3 linked regions of the Oreochromis niloticus genome follow. The protein of the gene in region 2 purifies or fractionates together with the protein of the main gene of each other region. This does not show direct contact. Links are inferred from orthologs where the notes say so. Each region holds a gene or a part of one and is shown on either strand. Other genes may lie near its edges. The genes, in order: prr5l, rapamycin-insensitive companion of mTOR and mlst8.

What was found.
Region 1: the proteins of rapamycin-insensitive companion of mTOR (region 2) and prr5l purify together in Homo sapiens (affinity purification with western blotting; 3 studies listed by BioGRID and IntAct, with this or other methods). This does not show direct contact. The link is inferred for Oreochromis niloticus from reciprocal best matches to the Homo sapiens genes RICTOR and PRR5L.
Region 3: the proteins of rapamycin-insensitive companion of mTOR (region 2) and mlst8 purify together in Homo sapiens (affinity purification with western blotting; 14 studies listed by BioGRID and IntAct, with this or other methods). This does not show direct contact. The link is inferred for Oreochromis niloticus from reciprocal best matches to the Homo sapiens genes RICTOR and MLST8.

What each region holds. Positions count from the first base shown.
Region 1 is NC_031972.2:39,237,201-39,247,102, reverse strand, and holds the start of prr5l (proline-rich protein 5-like), read left to right. Parts: upstream 1-5,221; 5' UTR 5,222-5,493; intron 5,494-9,902. UniProt on the Homo sapiens protein: Associates with the mTORC2 complex that regulates cellular processes including survival and organization of the cytoskeleton.
Region 2 is NC_031977.2:11,883,393-11,894,018, reverse strand, and holds the start of rapamycin-insensitive companion of mTOR, read right to left. Parts: upstream 4,888-10,626; 5' UTR 4,825-4,887; coding exon 4,776-4,824; intron 4,651-4,775; coding exon 4,603-4,650; intron 3,182-4,602; coding exon 3,084-3,181; intron 1-3,083. Other genes in the region: lg12h5orf34 (uncharacterized protein C5orf34 homolog), read right to left, coding at 7,764-7,942, 8,049-8,095, 8,181-8,278, 8,374-8,449, 8,538-8,629, 8,711-8,831, 9,864-9,956, 10,043-10,305 and 1 more. UniProt on the Homo sapiens protein: Component of the mechanistic target of rapamycin complex 2 (mTORC2), which transduces signals from growth factors to pathways involved in proliferation, cytoskeletal organization, lipogenesis and anabolic output.
Region 3 is NC_031973.2:21,210,970-21,221,406, forward strand, and holds mlst8 (target of rapamycin complex subunit lst8), read left to right. Parts: upstream 1-5,487; 5' UTR 5,488-5,632; intron 5,633-5,809; 5' UTR 5,810-5,828; coding exon 5,829-5,957; intron 5,958-6,900; coding exon 6,901-6,952; intron 6,953-7,042; coding exon 7,043-7,205; intron 7,206-7,284; coding exon 7,285-7,360; intron 7,361-7,463; coding exon 7,464-7,616; intron 7,617-7,735; coding exon 7,736-7,860; intron 7,861-7,944; coding exon 7,945-8,108; intron 8,109-8,422; coding exon 8,423-8,541; 3' UTR 8,542-9,015; downstream 9,016-10,437. Other genes in the region: voltage-dependent T-type calcium channel subunit alpha-1H, read right to left, coding at 719-807, 983-1,119, 2,134-2,236, 2,426-2,562; bricd5 (BRICHOS domain-containing protein 5), read right to left, coding at 9,405-9,499.

The sequences.
Region 1 (9,902 bases), on a different chromosome or scaffold from region 2:
TAAACTAATAATAAAAACTATCCAGGGCATTGGATAGTTTATTTCCAGCAGTATGCAGTATTGTATCAAATGACAAAATATTGCATTTCAATTTTTATTTTATCTACTAGTAGCGGTTTCTTAGCAGCTATTTGGCCATAAAGGCCTGATTCACACAGTCTCCTCTGAACAGTTGATGTAGAGATGAGTGCTACTGGAACTCTGTGTGACATTTATCTGAGCTCTAATCTGAGGTGCTGTTAAGTTATGATTTCTGAAGCTGGTGACTCAGATAAATTTATCCTCAGCAGCAGAGGTGACTGGGGCGGTCCGCATGTGAGCCAGTTTCTTCGTAGCGCTTGATGGTTTTTGAATGTGTCCCCAAGTGCAGTCGCAAAGTTTTAACAATTTTTCTGACTGACTGACCTTCAGTTCTTATCCTCCTGAGACCCAAACTCTTTCATAGCATGCATTTTTAATTTCTCTTTGCTATTTGGGCTGATTGGGACCTGATGAATGTAAAAACAAAGAATTACCAGATTTTTTTATTTTTTTTTTTAACCTGAATTTTGTTTCTAAGAAAAATGAGATCCACATATGAGGACATTTGTTTGAAATTTTGATAGAACAGTGGCAGTATAATGTCCTCGTAAGTGGATATCAGGCCCTTGAAGAGCAAAATTTAGTATTTTGGTTTAGACATCCCAAAATGTGATGTCCACATATGTGGACGCCAGGTCCTAGGAGTTTAAAGTAATGATGGGCTGTCGTTTCTCTTTACTTAGCTGTTTAAAATAAAAGACATATTTAGAGTTATTTATCATTTTTTTTCCTTTGCTACATAATTCAATATATTCATTTAGCTTCATATATTTGATGTCTTCAGTTTGTATCTACAAGGTAGAAAGTAATAAAAATACAGAAAAACCATTAAATGAGAAGGTGTCCAGACTTTGACTGGTAGTGTATCCCAACATACCTCGTCTGTGTTCGTGCAACAGCGTTAATGTTGCTTGAGGGACAGGATCCACATTTCTGAAGGATTTCTTAAACTAGTACTGTGGTTTCCATTTAAACTTTGAAACAGACATTACAAACACATTAAACACTGACAAACATAATAAAACACTACATTTCTGACCTTTTCACCTCAACACACCTCATCTGTGTGACTGTGCAACAGCACACGTTACTTCTGGTAACGTGTGATATGCTACAAAGCACTTTTGGTTTGTTTTCAAACACAGAAAAACATTTCTGACATTTCTACCTTGACACACCCTTTAGACAGGGGGTTGCATCATCCCTGCACGTCAGAATGAAAGGGCCATTGTCCACGATTATCATAGCACACCTCTGGTTGTGGTTTTGGTTGTGAGGGTCTTGTGGTGTAGCATTCCTTCTGTGGTGGTGGAAAGCTGAATGATGGTTAGACAACTCTTGATGCTGGCTTGTTGACTTGGTTCATACTGTGGACCAGAGCCAGGCAGAACCTTTTGAGAGCCATCGGTTTCTGGTTTCAGTACAAGTCTGTGTTGTAAACCAGCCAGGAATTCACAATGCACAAGTCAAGGATGTATTCAAACGGTGAAATGTACCATCTGCTCGACTTGACTGGGGTCCTATGCAGGTGTACTAGCATGTAAAAAAAAAAATAAAAAAAAATCAATTCCTCCCATAGCTCATTATATGCAGGGATGAGTGATGGGCGTGGAATGATGATCTTTGCTCCACTGACCGAACGAGGCACGATCCCACAGGCGTTTTCTCAGAAGGTTCATCCATTTGTGGTTGAACCATTTTACTATAATCAGACCTTTTGAATCTACGCTTTTTTTTGTAACAAGTAGGCTCAGATGTTATTAGCAACTTATTATAATCATTTCCTTTTCTGTTCAAAAGATTGGTCCAATATGTCCTAAACTACAGGACCAAAAAAAGTCATTAAAGCACCATTCCTTAATATTTGGCGTTATTATCATGGGTGAGACTCAGAAACTTCTGGGCGATTTCATTTGGTTTAAAGCTCAGAAGAAAAAGGACAATTTAGCCATAACTCACATTTGCTGAGCAAGAAACGTCTAGGATGCAAACTGCTGATGTGATGTCCGTCCTGGTCAAACTGCTGCAAAAGGCTGAGAGACTGAGTATAATGTAATTAAAAACAGAATGCAACAATTTACAAATCTATTAAACCCAAAGATACAAAATGTTAAAACTGAGAAAGATATTTATAAAGATGTTGGCCACACATCTTAAAAATCGGTTGGGTCAAGTCTTCATCACCAAGAATCTTCTATGAAGCAATGCTGTTATAATAGATGTAGTGTACAGTTAAAATAACGTCTTTGGTTAAAAAGATATGATCTGGATGAGAACTTATGTTGCTCTAAAGCCTTTATATACCTTTCAGAATTGATGGTACATTTTCAAATGAGCAAGCTGCCATGTCTACAGGTTTGACAAACATAGTAAAGCTCAGAGATGCAGGCTTTTAAGTGAGCACTAATAACACTGGGTGGTCTTTGTCTTCTTTAGTCCAGAGAACAGGGAATGTTTTCTTCCAAATTAATTTTTTTTTTCTCACACAATTTGTGTATGCGAAATAATCCCAAAATGCAACAGTACATTCTGCCAATTGGCAAAAAAATAAAAGAAACAAATCACACACATAAACCCTATAGTCATATTGTATATGCATATAGTGGTGTATTTAGGGCTCTTTAAGTGTTTAATGGAAGTGTAAAAATTATATACAATGCAGTTAATTTACCATTTAGTACACTTGAGGTGTAAAAGTATTATTTTAGGCATTTAATGAGTGAACATCATTTTAAATAAGTCTTTGATTCTTATTGGTCAACGACAGATATTTATTTGTACTTCTTGTAGTTATCCAGCAGATGGGGATGTTTGTCCCTTTAAGATGTTCATACCCCACATCCGGAGTTTCACCAACTTTCTGACCTCCTCTTTGGCTAAAGTGATGTCCAGTGTGGCCTAAACCTGACCCAGTACCTTCTGTGTGCTGCAGCCATGGACACAGTAAGTTACTGTACAAACAGCTGAAAAACAAGTAAGCCAGTTCTGATGTCAGACCTTAGAAACATTAGAAATCCGGTCATCATACTATTTTTGTCATGTGGCCTTCAGTCCCATGTTGGCTCCCAAGGATGGGAATGTGAGAACAGCAAGGTCTCAGTTAAACGTATGTTCCAAGCAGGATTTGTGACATCATCACTATAGTAGTAATTAAGTCTCAAGTCTGTCCATAGATACTCTACGGTTTTTCTGAATGGTTATTAATATTTATCTAATACTACTTTTGCTAATGCTGCTGTATAGCATCTTAGTCCTGCTAACTACATTCATAACTACAGTCAAGATCCTAAACAAACAGTCTTTAATGCTTATATTTAGTAATATGTCCAATATTATTTTAAAAAAAAATCACACAGTACTGCTCAAAACACAACAAAACAAAAAACAGGCACAAAACACTGAAAATAATATCTTCCTGTTGCTATTATTAGAAAACATTATCCTGACCCATCATGCAACCTTTTTTTGGCAATCCTTGCCACAGCAGGAATACTGAGTTCCTGAGCTGTGGAAGTAGCTGAAGCAAAAACTCCGGTGTGGTATTATATCTGTGAGGCCACTGAACGTGACTTTCAGTTGGCCTCGATGTAATTCTGGCAAACCCTCAGGAAACTTAGTAGGAGAACTCTGCTCATACTGTGTACAGTGGAAGTGGGGTGCTGCAGACTTCTACTGAGGATATAACCGATCATGGAGGGATCCCCTCAATCCTACTAATACGTCTTCTGTAGAAGAACCATAGTCAGAGGATGAGGGAGATAATTTGTTCATCACTGGGGGTGAGCTAATTGAGGCAGTGAAGCAACCCCTTGGTGGCAGGTCCCCTTGGGTGGATAAACTCTGCCCTGAACACCTTAAGGCTCTGGATGTTGTGGGCCTGTTGTCTGTATGGATGCTGTCTGTCTGTTAGTCAAATCTTTGTAGACATGCATCTGCAACATTTCGTGGTGATCTGGGACGGTGCCTCTGGATTGGCAGACTGGGGTGGCGAGCCCTATCTTTATGAAGAGCTACCGTAGGTTGAGAGGCAGGTAACACCCTGGACCCAGGTCGCCAGTGTGGTGCAGCCAAATACTGCATACCAGCACAAACATTGAAACAGTGGACAGGTCTCCAGCCTCTACCAGGGCCAGCACACACTGGGGCTATGCTGAAATGTGAATATACAAAGTCAAAAATTAACAATCATACTTAAAACATGCTGTAAAGAAATTTCAGACAATTTAAAACTGAAACTCAGAACATAATCCGCTCTTGATGTTCTAGTTTTATTCTCTCAGTAGAAGACTTGGTGCTATTAAAGGGGTTCAGAGTAAAGATTAATTCTAAAAACAAAATTCAAACATTGTCTGTGTACAAGTTTGATATGAGGTCATCAAGGACAGTGTAGGTTTCAGTAGGCCGTGATTTCATACCTATTGATCCTTATCTGGAATCTAAACTGCTCCAGAGAAAGTTAAGGTCACAACATAAGTTACCATACCTATATATCCTGGTAAGAAGTTACCACTGGCATAGTACAGAAAGCCCAGGGTTAACCTGGATGAGCCAGAATGCTGCTTTGTACTATAGCCTTCTGACTTCAACATAATTGAGATACTGTGGCTGTGTATTAACAAAAGCCTACAAACCTCAATTAACTGAAGCAACATTGTGAAGAAGAATATGCCAAAAGTCCTCCACAATAACGTGAGAGACTGATAAAGTCATACAGAAAATTATTGCTCCAAGTTATTGCTGCTAAACATGTTTTTTAAGCTACTGAATCATAAACTATGCTTGCTTTAGAAATGGTTATGTGTTCTAAGAATTTTAAAAAGTAATAGTGAGCACTTTTATTCTTATATTGCTTTCTAATTAGCCTAATAATTTAATGTAAATCACAGAATCAGGCCTAAAGGTCTTCTGAAAAAGGCAATTAATAATCCAAGACTATATTATATATAGAATTATATAGAGGTTTAACTATATACCTTTGCATATCTCTGCCTTGTGCAACGTGTTTTCTGCGAATAAACTGTGTAAAAAGTGTTGTGAGGTTGTACTGTGAATCCATTCCACCACAAAACTTAATTTCTAACAACTTCGACTTTTATTTTGAAGGTCACGCATGGCAGCGTCGGTTGCAGCCGGTACTGCAGCCTGTTGAATGGAGGCAGCGGGAAGAGGCAGTTGTTCTCACTTCCAGTTATCAGAGAACCTGTGTGAACTCCGTTTCTCAGTATGAGTTCTTAAGCGGAGGAAGTGTTTGTTTTTTTTAGAACGGAAACCCAAGCGATGCGCACACACAGCTGCCGCTGATAACAAGAAGCGGCACTCCGCTTTCAGCTGCACATCTTATTGAGTCGCCAAAAGACAGCGGCTGTGTTTATTTCTCAGAGCAGCAGCAAAAGGTGAAGCGAGTTTGCAGAGGTGAGTCCACGCACGAATACCACGAGGCTTACATCCTGTCAAGATGTTCACGCAGAACAGCGGCTAAACTCTGTGGCGTGTTTCTTTTTCTTTTACTGTGTTTTTGTGACCGGACGCATTTCATATCCTCTCGAGCTGGAATTCAGTAAAAAGTAACTTACGAAGAAGAGATCCTTTAAAATAGAAGTGAAAACCCCCTTTTTAGGTCAAATAGATACAGCCCACTGAAAAGGGGAGAGTGCAGATACCTGCTGGTAGTTACGTGTGTGGAATGACCCATAAAACTTCATGTAAATAGGTATGCAGTCACAGACGGGTGGCCCTACACTCAGTTCAGCTCTATAGTTACATGTAATGACTCTGGGCAGGCGTCGTGGGTCTTATACCAGTAATTCTGTGTGCCAGCTTAAAGCGTAAGATCGATAACTGCACCGCATACTAACCCAGTGTTTGTTTTTCGATCGGTAGATTTATTTATAACTGTCATTGTTGTGTTGGTATATACGTTTTTAACCGCTCGTGAGGCGATTTTTCTTGATACCAGTTGTATTTGTCAATGACATGAAGCGATGGAGGAAACAGTAATACGTTATTTCATTCTTAGAACACAATAGCAGATTTGAGAAGTCATTATGATCTTACTTATGGCCGATTAGACTTCTCAGAGCATTATTTAATGATCTTATTGTTGCAGCTCTAGATAGACTGAGTAATTTTTAAGTGCACTTATGTGAATTCCTCAAGTATCTGGGGATCGACCTGTCAGTAGAGACCCACAGTTGGTTTTTTTTAGGATGCCAAGATAACTTTACCAAGTTAGGCCTATAAATAGCTCACAGTTTGCAGATGTCAAGCAAGTGACTACTGTCACCTGTTACTTTGTAACCAGAATTGTTTAACACAATGTAACTTCAAAGTAAAAGAAAATAATGTTGTGCGTGTATAATATGGCCAGAGAGGTAAGAGGGCCATTTATGGGGCAAGGATCAGCAGAGGCAGACTGATGCTTGGCCTTGCAGTGTGGTGGTAGTCTGTAGGTAGTATACAGAGCTTTGTAGATCCTGTTACTTTTTACTGTCTGACTGACAGGATATTGGTACAGGGAGAACTCACTTGGCTATTGGTTGCTTGGAGAAATTCCAGTTTGACAAATGCCCTCGTGGGTTTTTGCAGACTCTGTACTGTCCACTGTTACTCTTCAGTTTATTACATTAGGATTAGGGGCTCACTAATTGGCACTTGCCCGATTTCTTTCTATTTTTTTTTTTTTTTAATTCAAAGGGCACTGACGAACAGCCCTCAGCCAGTGTCTCCCAAAGTATAAAATACTTTCTGTCTAGCATGAAAGTCTGTGAACAGTTGAATGTAATTACAAATTTGTCATCAGAGATTACAATGATTTGTTTGTTAGAATTTCAAACACCATAAAACTACCAGAGCTGATTAGAGTGTGGCACCAGATGTCTTTAATATTGAACCTTTTCACAATATTCTACTTTTCTGAGATACTAAATTTCATTAGTTGTCAGTTATAATCATCAAAATAAATAAATAAATAAATAAATAAACACTTAAAATATATCAGTCTGTGTGGAATAATTGTATACATTATACAAGTTTCACTTTTTGAATGGAATTAATGAAATTAATCTACTTTTTAATGATATTCTAATTATATGACCAGCACCTGTATTTTAAAATTGACCCCACAGTTATCTTTTACAGAATAAGAAACTCAATTTAATGAAGTATTGTAAAGTACAGCAATCATAGTACCATAAATTAAGCTTCAGTCTACATCCCTGCAATTCATCAAGCCTGAAACCAAAGAGTTAAATCTGCTCTGCATTTAACGCTTTGCTCTCTTTTCTTGGATTGGTACTCCATACTCTGGACTAACAGCCCTCATATTAGACAGGTGTTTCTAGACAATCTGTCCACAGCTGTTATTTGCATTAATTTCTATATGGTCAAAATGAAGTCATTGGGGGTTATAAGTATTAAGATTTTTAATTTGTTTTTTCCTTTTTATCCCACAAACCCCCAAATTTGCTTTATGATGATAAAACCATTTTAGGAAAAGTTATAAGAGATAATGGTGTTTTAATTTAAGCTACGTGACATTTAAAATGCAATAGGTTCAAAATGACCCCCATTGGTGTTATACAGTCCCGATCAAAAGTTTAAGACCACTTGAAAAATGGCAAAAAATCATATTTTGCATGTTTGGATCTTAACAAGGTCCCAAGTAGAGTTTCAACATGCAACAAGAAGAAATGGGAGTGAGACAAAACCTTTTTTGAGCATGCAATTTATTGAAAACAACGCTTAAACTGAAACAGGCTGTTTTACAGCTGATCAAAAGTTTAGGACCACACCTTCAAAAAAAAAAAAACCCTTAAACCACCCACAAAACAGAAATCAAAGTTCCAAACATGAACTCAGAAATGAGTAGCTCCACCGTTATTGTTGATCATTTTAAATATTTGTTGCGGTGTGCTTGATGCAAGTGTTTCTATGAGGTGAGTGGGAACATTTCTCCAAGTGGTGAAGACGGCTGGAAGAAGGGCATCTGCTGTCTGGAACTGTTGTCCATTTTTGTAAACTTCCCTTGCCATCCATCCCCAAAGGTTCTCAGTGGGATTTAGATCAGGGGACCATGCAGGACGGTCCAAAAGAGTGATGTTATTCTCCTGGAAGTAGTCCCTTGTCCTGCAGGCATTGTGTACTGTAGTGTTGTCCTGTTGAAAAACCCAGTCGTTACCACACAGACGAGGGCCCTCAGTCATGAGGGATGCTCTCTGCAATAGCCAGCGGCGGTTTGACACACTTTTACCTCCTGAAGGTCCATTGTTCTACTGAAGGAAAAAGAACCCCAGACCATTAGGTCTGAGGATCGTCCAGTGTCTTGATGGACAACCGATAGGGTCCTCTGGTTCAGTGCTGGTGACATTTTTTGGGGTTTTCCACTTGACTTTTTTGTTCCACAACACTCAGGATCATTTAAGAAATTCCAAATGACTGTCTTACTGCGTCCCACCTCAGCAGCGATGGCGTGCTGCGAGAGACCCTGCTTATGCAGTTCAACAACCCGACCACATTCAAAAAGGGAACTTTTTTGTGCCTTTGCCATCAAAACATTATGACAGTGTGACTCCCTGACAGAAAATGACAAAGAATCAACATTTTTGCACAGATTTGGCCTTTTAAAAGCATGTGGTTCTAAACTTTTCATCAGCTATAAAACAGCCTGTTTCAGTTTAAGCGTTGTTTCCAATAAATTGCATGCTCAAAAAAGGTTTTGTCTCACTCGCATTTCTTCTTGTTGCCTGTTGGAGCGCTATTTGCAACTTTGTTGAGATCCAACCATGCAAAATATCTTCTTTTTTTTTTGTTGCCATTTTTCAAGTGGTCTTAAACTTTTGATCAGAACTATAATATGATATTGAAGTTATGTTTCCTACAAATGAATTAATTTATACAAGGCATATTTCAATAAAAGCATACCTATATTGAGCAAATATATTCTATAGGAATGTGTTTTACCTGCCTAAGAAGATCTGTGATATCAGGCAGATATGTGGTTCTTCTCTAAGTATCGGTGCAATCTACTTCCACATTCACTGCATGTAGTTGGGGGAATTCCCTCAAACTGTATCTACAAAGGCTGCAGTGTTATGACTGTAAAAAGTGGAACATGTAGCTTACTTACATGAAGTTAATTTACCTGTTTTATTTACAACTGGAGCACTGACTGAATAATGTTTACACATTAAAAGCAAAGCCAATTGGCCACTCTAAAAGTCAACAAATTCCATACGGTATATTTATTTGTATATATAATAAAACACTTTAAGAATTAGAGCAAGAGAATTATCTCATAGTAAGTTAATCAGATAGTTGTCCCAAATTGGGGAAAAAAAGGAAGGCAGATCACAAAACAAACTGGGTTGCCCTTTAATATACTACACATTTTTCTGTGGTATATTTTCTGTGCTTCTGATAACTTGACATGATATTTTCATTGCTAATTAGAGGTGGTATGGTAGACTGTCACTGCTTATTTCTATTTACTGGCAGATGTTGTGAAGCTTCGGTTAAGGAGTTTAAGAGATCTGTAACAGATTTTTAACACAAATAAATGTTACTCTGCTAATTTAAAACTGTATTTATGTTACAGACGGGAAGGAGTGATAATGTTTTTCGGTCTAGCTCCAACATTAACGTTATATATTGTCTCTTCATTGGCTCCAGATTCAAATTTAAAATCCTACTCCTCACATACAAGGTCTGAATAGCCAGGACCAATCTTATCTCAGAGACATAGTACCATATCTCCCCAGTAGAGCACTTCGCTCTCAGACTGCAGGCTTACTTGTTGTTCCTAAGATAGTTTAAAGCAGTATAGA
Region 2 (10,626 bases):
TTGTTACCAAAGTTCAATGGCAGCTAACCAATGTCCTCAACAGAATTCAGTTTCTGAGTTGGTAAGTAAAAGAGCCAGACTAACCAGAACCTACAGCAGACTGACTACTGGTACACATGAGTTATTAAGCCATGCACACTGAGCAGAAAATAAAAATCTGCTGAGACTACTTTTGCCAGCTGCACTCGAAGGCAGAGCTGGAAATCATCATGAGCAGGGGTGTCAAACATAAGGCACAGGGGCCAGCATGAGCCTGGGAAAGACTCCAAAGCGGCCCACTGGACAGCTTTGGGAAATGTGATGAAGTGCATAGATTTATGACCCTTTTAACAGTATTTTCATAAGTTTTACAGCTTTCCTACTGATAAAAGACCCCTCACGACTGCTATTCATAATACACCTAAGTAATTAAGTAACGTATAAACAATTAAATGAAAAAAGTTCCTGTTTTTTCCACTATGTACAATAACATGTTTCCATACTAGATAGGAAAAAAAAAGGACAATGAAAAATGTATATGTAATAAAAGGACGGTCTGGGCAAGACATTTTTCTGTAATTTTACAAATTTATCACATAAGCTCAAAGTAGGATGTATGTAGCAAACAATTCAAAATGACTTTACATGTATGATCTTGAGGATGAGAGACAATATAAATCTGTGGTAAACACAGTGAAATAATAAAATACGGTTGCAGTACTTGTAACTATTAAATCAAAGAGAGAGTGGGAGACAGAGTAATTTAAAAAAAAATGTAGCCAAACAAACAAACAAACAAACAAACAAACAAAAAAAACAGTTATAAGAGATCGATCACTTCTTCCTTTTTACTGCAGAAAGATGGCCTTGTGGGCCCTTTATGTGGGGTGTGAATGAATCTGTTGTCACTGTGTAAGAGGTAACATTGCCAGCACAAAGCCACAGCAATTGCGAAGTATAAGCCAGAAGGGTATTCAAATGACTGAAATCAGCTATAAAGTGTCAGCCCCATGTTTCTATGTAATCATCATCCAAATCTTATGTGGAGTGTTTACATCTCCCTAACAACTGTAGAGCTGCACACAACAACTAGTGAGAATGTGAACTCTAATCAATATTTTACATATTTAATGTTCCAAATAGGGTAACACCGTTCTTAGAGGTACACTGAGGCTTCTTCACACAACAAGTCAATGCTCCTCCATCACAGTTGTCTATTCTGCCATGTGTCTCCTAATGAAAGTGAACCACTGTAGTACTTTTGGTTTGAACTGTTCCTCAAAGTTGAGCATAAATTTCTTAAAGCACAGCAGAGCATGAGGCAAGACGGAGCAGGGTGGGATGGGTGACGAGAGGCAAGAAGGAGTATGGGGTTGTTTTAAAACAGCTGTGATGTCAGAGCCCAAACAGGCAAACGAGGGGAGAGGAGATGGGGACAGGGTGCACGTGATGCTCTCCGGGGGGGTGGGGGATTAGCTCACCCTCACTGTCCTGGAACCCTTATAAGGAATCAGAGTCATGGTGCTCTAATGGGACATACACACACACATACACACACACACACATCATGGCTATAACCCTCCAGTCAGTTGTAAACAAGAGAGTTAGGTGTACAGATTACAGGCACACAAACCCATGCTCTCACTCAGCCTCGAGCCTGCTCCAGTGCCAGCTGCACAGTTGTAGGAGGGCCAGTACTCACTTGCCGCACAGCCACCAACAATTGTTTACAATACGCTTATGACCGGCAGTCAGAAGTGGTCTGAGGCAGTGGGGTGAAAGAGGAAATCGGGATATGGCTATGATCAGGACTCTCCTGTAAACATGTGCATGGACAACTGCGGACACCGCAGACCAGTAGTTGTTCTGATAATACTGCTTTTTAGTTAGCTTCCTTAAAATACTGCACATCACTGTCTTTGCACACAGACACAGACAGTCCTGTCACAACAAAGTGAAGAGCAGACAAATACCTGCACTCAGATGACAAACTTTATACCAATTTGACCCCAGCGTAGGTGCAGACGGAGAGTGTGAAACTGTGGTAAATTAGACAGTTGTGCACATGGTTTTGACTCTTTTTTTCCCACCTGAGGTGACAGTCAGCAAGGCCAGTGTGCTCAAGGCACAAGAAAGTGCTAGTTTTCTATCTCACGCTCATCTCGCAATCATTAACTCATTTTCTCCACCCCTGTTATTCCTGTTCAAAATAACAGGAAGGAGACTACTCCAGCATGTTTTGGGTTGACAGGAGAAAAACACCCTGGAGAGGTCACTAGTCCTGACCAACAGGGCTGACCTGAATGATGAGCGAAAACACTAAAACAGATTTTTTTTAATGAGCAAGAAACTTAAATTTCATACTCTTTTTTTATTATTATTGCAGTCAGTCTGCAGTCAGCTGAGACTGAAGAAGACACTTAGATGAGTGACGAAACGTTTCTCAAACTGAAAACGCTACGTCCAGATGAACAGAACAAACTTTTGGGGATATTATTGCTATTATTCATCTCTGTATCAGTAACATTTACTGCTGTTAAGTGAATCAGAGCAGTTATACTGCATGGTCAAAACAATTTAAAACTTGTATGGGCTCACATGTGTTACAATCCATGTTAGCATATTTGTGTTTTAAGCCTTGCTAAACTGAAAATCCTCCTAAATCCTCTGTTTTTTTATCATTCACATTAAAAACCAGAAGAGAAAAAATGACTAAAATAATCTTTTCTTCTTCTTTTTTTTTAACAAATCAAAGTCTCAGGTCCATACAAACAATAACTAGACACTATTAATCTCAGATTTCAAAGTCTGAGCACTGCTCCACATGCACATTAGACTGGAGTGCTCTCCTATCCCTCGAGCTCCTGTTATATTCACTGTCAGCATCACAGTGACAGGCACAACTAGGCCTGCTGGCATCAACACCCAAGAGGAAAAGATCAAGGAGAGGTCAGTGGTGACACTACAGAGGAGGAGCAGCTAATCAATCTTGTGAGAGATCTGAACCAAGTGAACCCTCTCAAAAAGCTACATGTCTCACAACATTTCAGCAAGGCAAAACTGTCTTTAAATGAGGCAAAATTATCAGAGCTTGACAGCGTTACCTTTATGAAGTTGTTCAGGTGGCCCAGTTTTCGCATGTTACTGACTCCGTGCGGTTTGGCCACATTTTGAAGGATTTCACGGAAGTTTTCTGACGGTTCTGAAGGAGAATGAAAAGGAAATACAATGTAACTAAGGGAGGCGTTAAGCCATATTGCCATAATAATATCAGTCAATGAACCGTAATAGATATCCTGCAGGAAGGAAGTTGGTTTAGCTGGAACTAATGTAGAGTGTACAATCAAAACAAAGGCTAGACATTAAAAAAGCAAGACCTGAGCGGGAAGTGTTTTTGTTTTCAGTTCCTTTCAACTATCCTACGCTAAATGTTTTGACAAACGGGAACCGCATTTTAAAACAGAATCGTCTAAGCGTGGTCGACGCCTTAACGCCCGCTTTGCGTGGGATGACTTCCACATATTGCCCTGCAAGACAAATGTAAACATCGCACAAACTAGGAAAACACCAGCTTAATGAGCTGCTCAGATCACTTTCTCCTCAACAACCAAGCGCAGCAGATGATAAGCCTGATTCCACTGCAGCTTGTCAAAAAGTAATAGCTATCGGTATTAGTCATCAGTCTCACTGCTCCAAACACTGCACTCAATCCATCGCTCAAAAGTGGAAATGAGAAAAATGCCAGACCAAAGGGTTACTTTGGTAACAAGCATTTGTAAACATCACGAGCCAATCTTACAGTAAGTTATGAATACATCACATTTTAATTGATGCCACAGTGATTACATGAAATTAGTATGCACATTTGTTATTTCATCATTTTCAACCTCTGGGAACTGACATACTTTAGTTTTCCCCAGTTTTGGTACTGTCAGGAAGAACATGTAAATAGTGTAAATCGCACTGAAGCAGCTGATAGGTTAAGTGTATTGACTCTCCTGTGGTGAAGATTTTAATGTTGTCAGTCATACATTTTTAGGTGAGCGTGTCTCTAGTTGACACGATTGTAACGAATCTAGCAGGGATCTGGGCCTCCAGGACTGAGACACTGCTGCTCCGTGTAAACAAACTGCTATGCAGTGTTGATGCTGGAGGAGTAAATCTGACAAGTTGTGCAGCTGTGTTATCAGTGCTCCTCTGGAAGATCCACCGTGTGCTGCCTCAATGCTTCTCGGCGCACAGCTTTCAGACTCAATTCCCCCAGCCAGTTAGCGATGACAAATGCATGACTGCAACTCTTATGGCTACTTGGCTAAATAACAGGCTATCGTGCCCACTCACGCCGATCAAAATAACAGAGCGTCTTCATGGCTGGTTAGCTGCAGCTAGCTAACGCTAACTCAGCTAGTTAAGTTAGCTCGTTGCCGCCTGTTGTTATGACATCGATAGCGACGTTTTTAGACCAAACAGTGAGGGAAAATGGCGAAATAACAACAGCAGTGATGGGTCAAGCGCGTACACTGTCTAGACTTTCACCACGCGGGGCTAGCGTTTGCAGATATCGCCCTCATCCATTTTGAACAATAATCGCTTTCAGGGTGATGTGATGAAGCCTCTGCTTACCTCTGCTCAGATCCAGCGGTACGTTCTCCTCCCCGCTGTCATTCCGACCTGTCAAAAACACACACCGCGGACACGCCGAGACATTACTCCAAGGTCATCGCGTGCGTGACAAAATCATATTTTGCAATATCCTGCTTTTACAGCAGCCGCTGAATCGAGGTTTTTGTGCTTACCTCGCATCCGAAGACTCCGGATAGGACGGCCGCGGAAGCTGGCCGCCATGTTTCCAGGAACATACACAACACCGGAAACTTCGCGGGTTATCGCGAGACAGCAGACAAGAGAGGGACCGCAACAGATCCACAACAGACCTAAGATCAGCTGGATCCTCCTTAATATCCCTCTAATCGTATGAGGGATAAAGCATAAATCTGACCTGGCGACTGTGTTAGGGTTAGCAAAGGGGGATCTCATTCAAGAGCTAAATTTCTATCACAAATATTATCATTTCAAGTAAAGTTAAATTTTCACTTGCCTTATCCATTCGTTTTTTATTGTTTAAGTATATTCTTCTTCTTCTTCCTTTTTCTATTATTAATATTATTACTATTATTATTATTATTATTATGCATACATTTAACATGGGTTTTGACTGAAAAATACTTTCAATAAGTCATGTCTATGAGTGGCTCCAACTCGAACTTTCACAGACATTTCACAGTTATAACTGAAGACTTCACAGTTTTCACGCATAAAGCCTGTCACTAAACATTTAAAGTAGTTTATTCTGTTTTTTAAAAAATGTAATTTTAATGACTATCTAATGTGCAAGTTGTTATTATGCAGTTATTATTATTAATTATTTTTTGGTAAATATCAAAAGTAAATAATATCAAAAGTAAAATGTCATATTACAGCACAACTTCTTGTTAGTTTGTTTTTCTGCCGTTTTACTAAAGGCAAAACAGGTATTCGTTGGAGAAAAGAATAATAATAACAATGAATGACTATAATGTTCAGCTTTTCAGGTCTTAAAATCTGCAATAACCATCTTGCACACTTGGTGTCACCCATACATAACAATGAACATTTTGTCAATCTCTGGGAATGGACCGAAATGTGGCTTCACCAATTGAAATAAATAGACACTCTCTGAGTACAGGCGTATTTTGTCTGTTTGCAAATTAATTTCAACTAACACCTGAATGCATGAAAGAAAGTGACTTTTTCTCTTACTCTCTAATAGCAATGACTCTACATACTGATTCTGATCTCGACTCAATTTAATAGCCCAGTCTGAAAAGGACAGGAGTATTGTACAACCTTCACAATCAAGCTAATCAGGAAAAAAAAGTTAACAGTATGGAAGTAGCTTATAGCAGGCCTATTATATTTACATTAACATCAATAACATTAATGTATTCATATTTTAAAATTAATATGAATAATTTTTTACTAATAAACAGCCTAAAGGACATAGAAACAGCTGACTAAGTCACTGAAAATAGAGAAAGTGTACAGTCACATGAGAAAGAGATATGATAGGCAACTTTATAAGTTACATTTGCGCGCTGAGCACATCAGCTAGTGCCCTGGAATCATCGTAGATACAAAGTTATACAGTAGGCAATGGCTCTGTGATTCTTTCTCTTCTTTTAAATCCTCATGGGTTGTAATGAGAGATTTTATATTAATCTTTCCCATACTCTATGAGCTTACTGAATGTATTAGGTAGATCATTCTGATATTCTGCTAGTGTACATGATTGGCAATTCAGGGGCTTTAAAATGTGTCAATAGTCACTCACTCAAAAAAAAAAAAAAAATCTTCAGCCATAAACTATTTAGTTGTTTTGACTCACTGGGGCAATGGCAGCTGCTGTCTCCACTGGATGATAACAGAGACTGTAAAACCTCTCTCTGCCTGTTGATTACAGTGTAAACACAATGTGCTGCATAGTTCACCGAGTTCTTAGTTTAATGCAACCAAAGTTTATGGTTACAAGGGAACACAGATCTGGAAAATAGACTGAAAGCTATTCACCACCTGACATTAAATGAACTGCAAAGAAGATTCAGATGCTTGCTATTACTGCATCTATCAGTTCGGTCATTTAAAGAAGTTCAGTTTCTTGAACTTAAAACCATGTTTTGGATTACTGACTACCTGACAGAGAGACTGTAGTGCCTGGGACTGAGCAGAGCTCTGTCTGATTAGGTGATGCGCAGCACTGGAGCTTCACAGAGGACTGCACGGTCTCCATTCCTGTTCACCTTTTGAGTTGTACAGATTTTCAGTACAACTTCAGGTCATAGCACCTATAGAAACGCTGATGATTCTGCACTGCTCTGACAGGAGAAGCACTGGAGAGTTGTCTCATCAGAGCAATCTGAATATGCTTTATTTTGAAAGTCTGATCCCTACACTAAACCCAAAAATAGATTCCTTTTGAAGTTTATTATATGGGATCTGCTAGAGCCCTGATTTTCCTTCCTGCTGTGATCTAATGCCCTCCTGATGATAGAACGCCATCTGGGACATTGAGCTGACCACCCCAGTCAGGAGAGCCAGCATAAACGATATCTTTTCTGCTGTTTTCTCTGAGACATGTTGTAACCTCAATACAAACAATTCTTTGCCAATGTCAATGTTTGAAGATGAGAACTACAAACAAACTGCATACTGCATCTGTTAAAACGGCAAGGATTCTGGCTGGGTGCTGAAGTGGCCTGGCTGCATTCCAAACCTTCCACTAGCTGAAAACATTTGGCGCAACATGAAATCAAAAATACAACAATGAACACCCTGGACTGCTGAGCCGCTCAAATCCTCTATCAAACAACAATGGGACACCATTCCTCACCCAAAAGTCCATCAATTGGTCTCCTCACTTCCCAGATGGTTATGGGCTGTGGTTAAGAGAACAAAGGATGCTACACAGCAGTTATAAGATGTTTTGCTGCCATCAAATTTAAAATAAATCTTTTCCCCCCTTAAAATGTTACAATGTCTCAATTGAAACATTTGATTATGTTCCATTATGAATAAATTGTGTCCCAACTTTTCTGGGGTTGTTAAATAGACTAAAATATTAAAAGTCTATGCAACCCCATTACATAGTAATACATACTTTATTAAAGTATAATTCCACACAGTTTTATTATATTTTTTATTGAGACAAACACACAAATATGGCTTCCTGCTTAAACATAAGGATTCTTTTAAGTTAGTGTGGCTGCAGATACGAGAGCGTCAATATCCTGAATTGCTTTGGATGTCCTTTGAAGAGCTTCAGCAACATAGTTGTCATTTAATGGCTCACGAGTGACGTCTGCAGGACTTTCCTCCTCATCTGCATGTGCTTTTCCACTTTTTAGCACGTGGCTGTTCTCCAGCAGAACTGGGCAAAGGATGTTAAAGAGCACAGAGAGACAGCCTCAATACAGACAATACAGACATTAGTTTAAAGCATCCCTTTGTATCTTGATCCCAGTGCTGAAGGATACAGCTAAATCGCTTTATCTTCTCAAGCTCTGCAGCAACGAGCTCTGATCTAAAATGAACAGTACACACAAGCTGTTAACACCTTTAATTTTATAACAAAATATCGACAGAGTGACCAGAAAAACACAACTTACAAACTGCCTGCTTCCTCTGTCACACTCATGCGTTGCTCAGCAGGCACAGCAATGGGCACCTTTTCTTCAAACGCTGTTGGTTTACAAAAATATCCATCCTGCAAACAGAAAGAGATTCAGTAACTGGCAGTGCACAAGCTTAAATGGTGGATAAAGTGTAGGTATCCACAGGTGTATCAGGAGGTACTACTACTTCGAGATCTTGCAAGCAGCTGGGTAAGGCTGGACACTTCAGTGACTGCATGGCCTGGTTGTAGCAAGCCAGGATCCTGTAAAACAGTTATGCGATGGGTGGAGACTGGAAAAAATTAAAAGTCCTTTAACTCACCAGACTGTGATGAAGAGGGGGCAGCTTACCTGCTTGCACGACTCACAATAGAGCAAACAGAGTAGGCCTGTCCAAGCACATCAGGTGGAAGGCTGTTTAAATGGTAGGTTACCTCTTTGACCTGTGGTAAAGATTGGCTAAATTTGTAAGATTATTTTTAAAATGTATTGGTTAAATTTTATAATAAGAGGTTAAAGTTTACCAGCCCTGACTGGAGTTCAGTTTTGTGATGCGTAAAATAAGAGTTAAGGTTGCGGTTAGAGCGGATGACTGATCCATCCCCTGGGGAAACCTCAACAGCTGAGACAGGTCCACTCAGTATCCTACACAGCAGACATGAAGGTAAGCACACTATTCTAGTGTAGATTTATAGACCATCTCCCACACTCTATACTGTAAAACAATGATTTTTTTATCATGAGTATGAAAATTGAAGATTTCAGAGATCCTTTCAGCTTTGGTGTTAGACTGGATCAACAGGAAGGATGCTTCTGGTCTGATTTATTGTTTTGCTTTCAGGCAACTGATGAGGCACAGAGGACTTGAAAAATGACAGCTATATGTTGTCAGGACTATTTTTAATAAATAAATACATTTAAGCACTTTTCTGGTATTTTCAAAGCGAATCTTCAAGTCTTAAAGATGTTAAATAAATAAATAATTGTACAGATATACACTCAAATTAATAACAGATAAAAAGTCTATCCAGAGGGTAATAAACAGCACAAAGTGACAGTGACTGTGTTCGTCACTCTCCTGGAAGAGATTGCAAAAACAAGATACTACTCAAAACACTAAAGAGAGCTCTCATCTTGGATTTTTTTTACCTGTTGCCCTCAAGTAGACGTTTTGATTAACAATTACATCTCCTTCAATCAAATCAAGGAGATTTGGTGCTAAATGCTTAAAAGCCTACTATACCAAACCTACTGTAGAACAGAAGATGTTTTGGTATTATCTAGGTAACATCACATGATATAATGCAAAGTGATCTATTTATACCATTTCAAGCCCTTTGGAGCCTCACACACTCAGGCCTCAGGGTAAAGATTCTGGGCTAACAACATAAACATTAGCGACATCTGAATGACCCATAAGCTGTCAAACAACACAATAACAACAGAGTTTCTCTCTGGTTGATCCAATCTAACATCAACCATCATTCAGAGGTTTTTTTTTTGTTTGTTTGTTTTTTGTAACAGTGGCCTTAAGAGATCAAATGCATTGCCACTTAAGAAAACACCAACAAATAGAAACATTCCGCAAAAGTTAAGTTAGTTAAGTTTTCTTAACTTGCAGTGCGTTTGACCTTTCAGGGCCACCACACTTTATACCCTGAAGACCTGCAAAGTTACCTGTAAGTGACTCCCTGACACCACACTACCTTTACCATCTCAGTTGGAAGGTCTGTGTGTTCTTCTTTGGCCAGGGGATCTTTAACCTTCCACCTTAAATACACAAATAAGGAAGCCTACATCAGCCACTGAACAATATTGAAATGGTTTACAAAATGCTTGTTTTTAAATCTACAAACCTGTGCCGATGAGGCGTTGGACACGTGAGAGGCAGCGCCTGAGGAACATGGGACCTTCTGTCTTCACAGGATATGTCCAATTTGTTTATTGTCTTGTCTGATTGGTTGGAACTCCTAGCTCCTCTATCCACTACATCTTTAGCTTTAGAGAAACGAGCTGCCCAGTGATGGCGAGCCAAGGAAAGAGGGTAGGCCCATATGGGAGCAACCGCACAGCATGAGTGATGCTGGACCACTGTGGTGGACTGGTACACCTGTTCAGGCTGGAAAGAGAAGAAAAATCAGTCATCCTATCAGACTTTAGACACACTGGCGTTATTATTAGAAGGAAGTACTACCTTTTGGTGTCCATCGCTGATCATCTGAGGAGAACAAGACCTCGGTCTGGTCAGCATCGTCCTCATGTTTCTTCTTCCGTGCCGGACCACTTCGGTGTGATCACTGGTATTATCGGGGACTGGACTGCTCGCTTGCTCTTGTCTGTCGTAGCTATCATCTTTGCTCATTTGCTGCATGCTGCGGTGCTGATTTCGAGCAGAACTGAGGCTGCACATGAACTCCACTGTGAATTCTTCACCGGAAGG
Region 3 (10,437 bases), on a different chromosome or scaffold from region 2:
ATTTCACTAATTTCTTATTACAGTTTGTGTTTTGAAAAGGTTCAACGAAAAATGTCACGAATGTCTCAGAATTTAATTACTTACTTACTGTGAAATCTTAAATATTTAAAAGATATTTTATTGACGTTGTATACTTCATGGAGATTTGTCACAATGGTTACAATGCAGTGATGAAATATTACATTTCCCCTTTATGATCACATATAAATTAGCAAATACCTTTATTCCCCGTATTCAGTTAGAAATAAACAACCTGTGGAGCAAAATTCTTTGTTACTGTTGTTTAACTGGAGTGGTTCAACATTTTAAACTAGATCTGAAAAAACACTGCTACCCCTCAACCTCCCAGTAGACACACCTATGGATTCAATTACAAAATCTTACGTCACCTTGTTCTCGAATTATCACAATCACAATATTTTCAGAAAACTTGAGCCTGAGGTCAAGGTCACTGAGATTTGAATTAGTCCAAGATTTTTAGTAAATACACCTATGATATCATAGGTGATGTACTGAAACTCATACATCACTTTGTGCTTGAGTTATCAAATTCACAAACTTGGATGACCATGCCACATGCTCGCCTGCCCTTTAAAACTTTCCTTGTTTAGCCCTCCAGTCTAAACAATGTAGTGTACATTCAAAATAACCACACTAATCTAAATAATGACAATCATCAGGCCTCTGTTCTCTTCAAACTCTGTAAATATCAACTTACTTGGTACTCGGCTGATTAGTCTCATTGGCTTGATGGCATGAGACGCTTCTACGTGGAGATTAAAGAATCCAAACGTATAATCCATTAGCCTGAGGTGGCAGTTACAGACACAAACAAGAAGGTGAGTTTTACTTTCTTTCATTCATAAAAATAAGCGTGCCTTCCAATAATCTAAAACTGCATCTTTTTGGAATTCCTCTGCAAAGGTTTTTAAACTGAAACTAAATTCTAGAGACACATAGATACAGACACATGGATGCTAACTCTGCAAAGATGATGAAAAGGTCAAACTTGTTCCAGTGGCTGCTCAGGTAGCTTCCTTTATGGCCGATGAATCCCAGGGCTATTGTCTTAATGAGCGTTTCCATGATGAAGTAAAGAAAGACGAGAGAACCCAAAATCTGTATACAGAGAACGAAAAACATCATCATATCAAATATCAAAACATACAAGGCATACTGTTAACATACAATCACTGGTAATAACAGCAGTAGCACAGATATAACATACTATATCCAGATGCTGCATCTGAGCTTGTAAGGGGCCTGAGGGTCTGGTTATGGGCTCTGATCCATTCCTACAAGATTTTACTGTTTAATGTGACTTATTGCAATAAGTTACCTCCTCTTTAAGATGACATATTGTTAAGTGACTGTTCTGACAAAGTTAATGCTGACTTATGTCAGGTTAAGAAAAAAGAGATGACCATTTTAATTAAAGTCATTCAACAGAAATAGGTGAAAATTAAATACATGTATGTTATTCAAAATTCTCTCTTTCTGTGTTAAATCTGTTTTTGGCCACAAATAAGACAAACCAACAAATCCTTTAAATGATGTGAGTAATCCTGTCAGTTTTTAAAGAAGAACATTTAAAAAGCAGCTGCAGAATTGAAATATTAAGTGTAGGACTAACACTGTTAGTATCATATATGGTACAAAAACTCACATTTTAAACTTAAAACATGTCCTTGACAAAGCACTTTGGGATTTTTCATCGTGAAGCCAAGAATCAAGATTACACTAGAACATTATAGGACTAACAAATGAGAGCGTTTACGAAGTGTGTTATAAACTACAGCTTATTGTTAGTCCTTAAAGGGACAGTTCGCATGTTGTACATCTGTATACTTTCTGTTGGGCCTGTTGTGCCATCTTCATCTAAATTGCTATGATTTGAAGTTCAGCTGTAGAAATATTAGCAGAATATTCATGATTCCCGAAATTATGGCCCTCCCCTGAAAAACATCAACAAATTGTGTTATAAATAGTTCATTTAAGGACTATTTTTTTTCTACAGAACTAGAACCGCCAGCCAAAGATGATGAAAATGAAGATGCATAATTTTTTCTGCACAGTGATAAGCACTTCTAGTCTGCTAGTCTCTTCTTCTGATGCTCAGCTCATTATAATAACCTCTCGGGTGAAGCTCTCCTCTTTCGCCTCTACACAAGGCTGGTACATGCCGTCATTCACGCAGCTGAGCAGGACCACCAGTATGGACAAATAATCCAACCATGTAGAAGAAGAGGTTAAGGTCCAAACACATTCATAAAATTTATCAGCAACAAAGGAAGCTTTCGTACTAAAAGTGTTTAATGTGGACATATTGAGTGGTATACAAGAAAAAAAACCTATAAAAAATTTTAAAAAAAGGTTTGAAATTGTGTTAATGACATTCTTACTTCATTCAGTACAGAAAGGATATGGGCCAGAGACTATTTTGAGGAACCATTTGCGGGGTCTACTCGTCTGCTTTAGTCCGAAGCACACAGGCACTACCTCTGGGAAGGGAAGCTGCTCCTCTACAACGACGCCTCTATGTCTATCATGGATTTCATGCATAATGAAACCAGAAACGCATCTGAGAGAGGTCAGGAAAAAGGGGCAAAGAAAACCATGATATACAGATCTATTTGGAGAAACAACTTCCTTTTCTTGCATAAAAAAGTTAAGCAGTCCCACACTAATAGAGTTGGCTATATATGGATTTTTTCTGTTAAATGTTTGGATACATTTCATTACACCTGTTCAACTGCTCCTTAAGTCAAATACCTAATCAGAGAATCACATGGCAGCAATTCAGTGCATTTAGTCATGCAAGCATGGTCAAAAATAACTGCTGAAATTTAAACTGATCATCATAACAGAGAACAAAGGGGAATTTAAGTGACTTTGAATGTGGCTAATTGTTGACCCTAGAGGAGCAGGTCTGAGTATTTCAGAAACTGTTGCTCTCAAACATATCTGCAATCAGTTTCTGTTAAAGTGACTTTTATATATCATCCAGGTAAAAACTTCCATCCATCCATTCGCTTCCGCTTATCCAGTGGCCAAAAGGATCTGTATTGATTATAATGTAGAATACAGAGTAGATAAAATAGCGCACAGCCATTTGCAAGGATCCTTGCAAAACAGGTTAATCAGTCAGAATCAGAATCAGTATATTTTATTAATCCCTAAGGAAATTATGTGGGTTACATTTGCTCCAATACAGTAACAGAAACAGACTAGACTATTTAACAATACAATATGTCGCAGATTTACAAATTTAAGAAACAGCACAATATATACAAATCACTCAATAATAAATATCAAGGATTGACAGAGGTGATTATAAATAAATATCAAGAATGTTGACAGGAATATTATTGAGAAGAAAAGAGCATGTGCAAAAAGGGTGTAACTATTACAGTGTTTACAGTGTGTTAGATGGAGAATTAATTAATTATATTAATAATTGGAAATATAACAAAAACAGAACCAATGAGTTAGGAAAGCTGTCAAATAAAGGTAAACAAAAGAAAATTATTGTAATTCTCACTGAAATGAATTGACAACTTTTCACTGTTTTAAGTTGTAGTCCGGAAGAGCAGTGACTCAACACATTAACGTTGAGTGTACCTTATTTAGGCAACATGCTAATGTTTTAGTGACTTCGCATTAGCCTAAAGCTACAGTCATTGGAGGCTACATGATGGGGCTGTTAGCATGACACTGTCATAAACATGAATAGGCGGCACACAATCATAAACTCTCCATTTGTTTTCTACTTATGAAAGTTTGGTTGGATTAGCTAACTGGTTTTGGATAAAAGAGTTGCGTATGGCATTAGCTAGCTAACTAACTAGCCTCTTTTAGATAATAACTATAGGCACTGGAGACAGAAATATTTAACAGTTTGCAAACATGTTATCCTCAGGTTCAGCAGACAGAAGTAAACATACAAAAGTAAAACTTGGAAAACCATTTCCTAATTTAGCTCAATCAATCAATCAGTCAAAAGAAAATCCAACAATGCTTTGAGGACATTTCTGTACCTAATTATGCTACTACAATTTATTTTAAAGAAATTTAAAACCACTTTATTACACTTAACTCTGAAAATGTTCATTTTTACATTTTCGAAAATACTCAAGTTACATTTTTCCCCCAAACAGACTCACAGGTTTCTGATTGTAAATTCTCCTCTTCACCTTGACTTTGGCCAATCAAAGGTAAATGAGCCAAACTCTGATGTGAAGCTGTAACCAACAGCAACCATCCTGAAACCGGATGTTGACGATGAAGAGCAAACTGTTTTATTAAACAGTAATTTCATCCCTTTAAGTTTTTTTATTCTTAAAATTTATCTTATAATATTTTAATGTGGGCCCAAGAAACTATTGATAGCGGGTGTGTTGAAGCTAATATTTTAATCATTAAGTTCTGGCCGAAAAGGTGGAGACTGAAGCTTAAGCACAGCACCTAGACTTTTTGTACAAAATGTTGCTTAACTGGCAACACTTTTCTAACCTGATCTGCCCCAAAGAAACACCAAAAAATGACACAAAATTAGGAATAAATACTAAACTAGGACAAAAACAAATAGTAATCATATTGATTGTGCCTCATGTTTATTTTTTTTAATCACCTGAGTTTTTATGTTGTTGTTTTATGTTGTTTTTTTTAGATAATGATCAATCTTAATTCAATCTTTATAATTTTATATTTTGTACATCAGTGCATTTCAGACAGTAGATCATATATGAAACTATTAGGGGACAATATACCATGATGATTTTTGATTTATGATGTCTTTAGTTTTATATCATTTTGCAATAGTTTTTGTTTCATTTTTGTTTTTACATTGTTAATAATGAGTCTTCCATAACTGTCAAGTTGATACTAGATGTGTTTAATACCTGTTAGAACTAGTGTTGATCGTGGTACTGAGTACAGTATTTGTGAGGTTTTTCTGAGCGGTTCTAGAAACTGGTTGTACAGACAGAGGATGATGTCACGAGGTTGGAGTGTAATTTTTTATATACCGAAAAAAAAACCCCTTATTAGTTAAGCAACAATACTGTATCCATATTGGCACGTTTCTATACATCCAGCTATGTTTCTATGTTTCTATTCAACCCTTGCCATTTGAAATGTACGAAAAGTTTAGTAGTACTTAGAATAACACAGGCTACAGTGATAGAAGCGATCATCTTAAATCCTATTGACTCAATGGCATTTTTCAACTTTCTATTATTTACTTTCTTTTACTTTGGTACTGACTATTAGGACTGAGATATCGCCATATTGACACAAGCAACTTTTCAGACGATGCTAATAAAGCTGAAATTAAAAGATGTTGCAATATTACATAATGAAATACGATTAGTCTTAATTAATATTATGAATTATTGGTATACACTTCTTTGAAAATCATTGTATTTAATTGCAGCATGTCTATTCCTCGTGGACACACCAGCAGAGGGCGGTACTGATCTAGTGATTGAACCGGAACTCTTGAAACACTATTATGTTTCTAAGGGACGCGTTAAGGAGACGTACTTCTTGGCTGGCTTCAACACTAACAACAACAAAGGGGAACTAAAGAAATTTGTCCTTTTAAAACGGTAGTACTGCTGTGTAGTTATAGGTAAGGGGTCTAATGGTTTCATACTAGAAGCGTTTATTGTTTATTGCATAGACTATAAGTTTGGCTAGCCTCTCTTGCTAAAGTTAGCTTATGATACGTTCACAGTTTAACCCTTTTTTGTGCTTTAGCTGTGTTTTGTGTTTTACTTTAATTGTTGCAAATTGAATTTCCCTGCAGTATCCGCCAGGAGTTCGTCATGAATGTGAATCAGGGGACGGTGGGCAGCGACCCGGTCATTCTGGCCACGGCTGGATACGACCACACTGTCCGCTTCTGGCAGGCCCACAGCGGGATCTGCACCAGGACGGTCCAGCACCAGGACTCAGTATCCTTACCCTGATATATGGAGGCTTACGCAGAATGTGTACTGTCATGTTTGAATAATTATAGGTTATGACCATTTATAAATCTCAGGTTTAAAGTTCAAAGTTAATCAGATGTTGTCTATGGGGGGGGGGGGGTTCTCTTCAAGGCAACAAAAGAAAACAAGCTTCTCACAAAAATCCACGTGAACGCAAAAAGTGCTTTTGTTTTAGTTCTGTGTTTTCTATTTGTTTATAGATGTTCTATAAACCCTTTAGGGTTCGCTGAAGTGGGTAATTGCCTTCATCTCACACTCTTTTGTCACACCAACCCTCTGCATGTCCTTCTTCACTACATCCAAGAATCTCTTCTGTGGTCATACTGTTTTCCTCCTGCCTGGCAGCTCCATATTCACACTTCACAGGTCTCATTTACACTGTCTCTCCTCTGCATAGGTCCAGACCATCTCAGCCTTGCCTCTAACCTGTCTCCAAACCACTCTCTTTACTCCGAATGAATCTTGAAATCTTCATTTCTGCCACATCCAGCTCTGTCCCGTATCTTTTTGTCACTGTCACCGTCACCAAACCACACATCATAGCAGGTGTCACTTCCATCTTACAAACCTTCCCTTTCATTCTTGCTGCTATCCTTCTGACACTCATCCCCACATTCTCCAGTCTGCCTGCTCACTCTTGTCACCTCTCTTGTGGACTATCTTGACTGTTACGCCTGTCTCTCTCTCATGACTTTCATTCCTCCTCTCTCCAGACACTCTTCCACCTGGTGCCTGCTTTCACTACAGATCAAAATCTTGTCTGTGAACATCATAGTCCACAGAGACTCCTTTCTGATGTCATCTGTCCACCTGACAGTACCCTGACCTTACCTAGCAGTTTAAATTTGATGAGCTGTAAAATATAGCAGCAACCTACATTGTCCACTTCCTTAACATTTACTCTCAGCAAGTAAATTCACTCGAGGTCACACCTGACAGAAGTATGATTGCAGCCGCAGGTTGGTTACAATTTTCCCCACAATCCTTTTTCTCATTTCTCACCTTAATGTTACTTTGCTTCATAGTAATGTTTGCATTCTGCTTTCAAGGTTATCAGCATATCCGCATGTACGACTTGAACTCCAACAACCCCAACCCGGTCATCAACTACGATGGAGTTAGCAAGAACATCACGTCTGTGGGCTTCCACGAAGATGGACGCTGGATGTACACAGGAGGAGAGGACTGCATGGCTCGCATATGGGACCTGAGGTACTGAAGGACAAGCTCACTGGTCTTTGTTTATTTAATGATCAGCAAACTAAACTCTGATCCCTGCTCTACCTTGTAGGTCAAGAAATCTGCAGTGTCAGAGGATCTTCCAAGTAAACGCTCCAATCAACTGTGTGTGCTTGCATCCTAACCAGGTGAGACACTCAGTACACACAGATGAATCAGGTGAGGCTGTGCTCTTGGTTACTATCTGGAGCATTTGCACTTAATGCCGAAGATTTCATTATGTTTTTTTAGGCAGAGCTTATAGTTGGAGACCAGAGTGGAGTGATCCATATCTGGGATCTGAAGACAGACCATAATGAGCAGCTGATTCCAGAGCCGGAGGTCTCAATCAACTCAGTTCACATTGACCCAGATGCGAGTTACATGGCAGCAGTCAACAGCTCGGTCAGATGCTTAAAAAAATCTGCAGCATATGTGGCGCAGGTTAATAAATTCACTGTTTTATATCGTGTTATATTATTGAAAACCTTTTTTTTTTTTTTTTGCCCGGCTCTCTTTTAAAGGGAAACTGTTACGTGTGGAACCTCGCTGGAGGCATCGGGGATGAAGTGACTCAGCTCATTCCCAAAACCAAGATCCCTGCGCACAAACGCTATTCCCTCCGCTGCAAGTTCAGCCCCGATTCCACGTGAGTGAACCTTTTTCTCCAATTTCCCCCTCATTTCCCCACCAAAAATACAACTTGACATTTTGCATTCGTCGTCGCCTCCAGGCTGCTGGCCACCTGCTCGGCAGACCAGACGTGTAAGATCTGGAGGACGTCCAATTTCTCACTGATGACAGAGCTCAGCATCAAGAGCAATAATCCGGGAGAAACATCCAGAGGCTGGATGTGGGACTGCGCCTTCTCCGGAGACTCGCAGTATATTGTTACAGGTCCATACAGCAGCACACTGCAACAGATCTCAAAACTGAATAAGAATTGTTCAAGTAAAACACTGCAATCTATCTGAGGGCTGCAGATTTGAAATGTGGCTGTTTGTAAGATAAAAAGGACATCTCATTTTCTGATTTTGTCTTGATTTGTCACACTAACCCCTGCCCTGCCATTACATCTGCCATGATGTAAAAGGGGTTTAAAAATGAAACATGGCTTTAAGTTTGCTCTCAGATTATGATAACTTTTAGACACTTCCATGTAAGGCTGGACATTGCTTTGTTTTAATTCTATTTTTTCACTCACTCCACAGCCTCCTCAGATAACCTGGCTCGCCTGTGGTGCGTGGAAACTGGTGAGATCAAAAGGGAATACAGCGGCCACCAGAAGGCCGTGGTGTGTCTGGCCTTTAATGACAGCGTGCTCGGCTGAGAAGCAGAAGGAGGAGATAAAAGGTTGTCAGACAGGAACTAAAGACTCTTATGAGGGTGCCACTCATGTCACGTATGTCAGCGCCAGTACAGTGATCGACTTGAGGAAGCGGGCACAGTGGCCATCTCTGGCATATGCGCAGAGTGACACAGCCAAAATAAAAATCTGTAAAGTTAAAATCTGTTTTAATGGACTTATTTTGTTTCCACAGACGTACAGAAAGAAATCTGTCAATGACGAGGCAGACATAATAGTTTGTTTGTTTTTTTATTCAAATTGCAAAACTCTGTTTTTACAGAGCGCTATATTTATTGTAAAAAAGACCACATTAATCACAGGTGCTTTGTATGTGCAGCAGACTTGTCTAATCTCTTACATGTGCTATGTATGATTTATTTGAATAGCTGTTCTGTTCTTCATTATGTGGAGGAGGACTGCTGAATAAACGGTGTACAGAAATGTCTTTATACCCAACAGGTTGTGTCTTTTATTCTCAGAACAAAACAGTCACATTGTAACAGGAACGGTTACACACAGCAGTCCGTTACAGGACATACAGTTAGAGGCATTTACAACAAAAAAACGGGGGGCGGGGGTTCTTTCTTCTTTAATCTGTGAAGCGTGCCACCAGAGAGGGAATTATACATGAAGAGAGTGATGATGGGGATTTGGCGATAAATGTGACAGCCTGTCTCCAGCTCACTTCTTTCTCGGAAGGAAGAAAATGGTTTACTGGTGGCTGTATGGCACAAAGGAAACAGTCAAAGCTCGCTTTTGTTCTTGAAGAGGGAGCCAAAAACAAAAAGAAAAGAGACAACTTTGTTTCCCTGATCTTTTGCCGGGAGGATCGAGAGAATGCAGAGTCACTCTGGAAGGTAGTAGAAGCACACGGACACGCAGATGTTGCTGGGGAAGCAGATGTCGATGCAGAAGTAGACCAACCTCTGTTTGCCTGGGCCTGAGAAAATGAGAGGTCATGTGACTCATTAAAAAATACAAATTTAGATTAAAGTGTCACTTGAAAACAAATCATTTAGAAATGCAGTCATTTGCATGAGTCATTCATGGTTTAAAAGCAGCCAGATTTAGTTTGCTGTTCAGAATGGGCTCGCGTACATGCTGTTGAGGGAGCGCACAGTGAAGTACATAAAAAGACTTTCAGGCCGTGGAAAGGTCACATTAGGCCACGAATCAGGTTTCAGTCTGACACGCTGCTGCGTTGCGGAGCGGCCGCAGGGCTAATTGAAAAACCTCTCTGCGCGTAGGCTCCGGTGACCCTGACAAATGAGCCCTTGTGTGAAAACTTCAGCATAATTTCTGTTCTGTTCTCCCAATTTGTGACTCAGGTGTCTGGAAAAAAAGAGTCGATTCATAAATGAGTCTATGAAACTAGTAGGGAACAGTTCTGGGGTGGTTATAGAAAATTCCACTGTTTTCTGAGTATTTAAAGGGATCATCATCAGAGTAAAAGACTCCGTGGTGCTCTTTGGTGCAGCTTTGTCAAACAGTATCAGAAATCGCTTTTTAAGCCGAATCTGAAGCTCTTGTGAAACCAATTTTTAAAGCCCATGTTCCAAATATAGACAAATTTTATTAAAAATCCAGAGCCCATAAAATGTTCTGACTATCCTGAGGAACTGAGCCCGACGCCAGTTCATTTTTCCTGAAAGTGCAAGTAGAGGAGAAATGCAGCACACTGTTTTTTCTTTAGTTTTGCAGAAAACATAACTCAGGATATTTTGGGAGATATTTTCAGCTTTGGATTAATGCACATTTGATCTTTGAGCTGTGCGAAACTTCAAATTTTGGTATTGATGCGATACTAAATATATACAAGATCAGTATTGCAGATATCGAGACTTATAACCAGTAAAGGCAGCTTATAAAGGGGAGAGC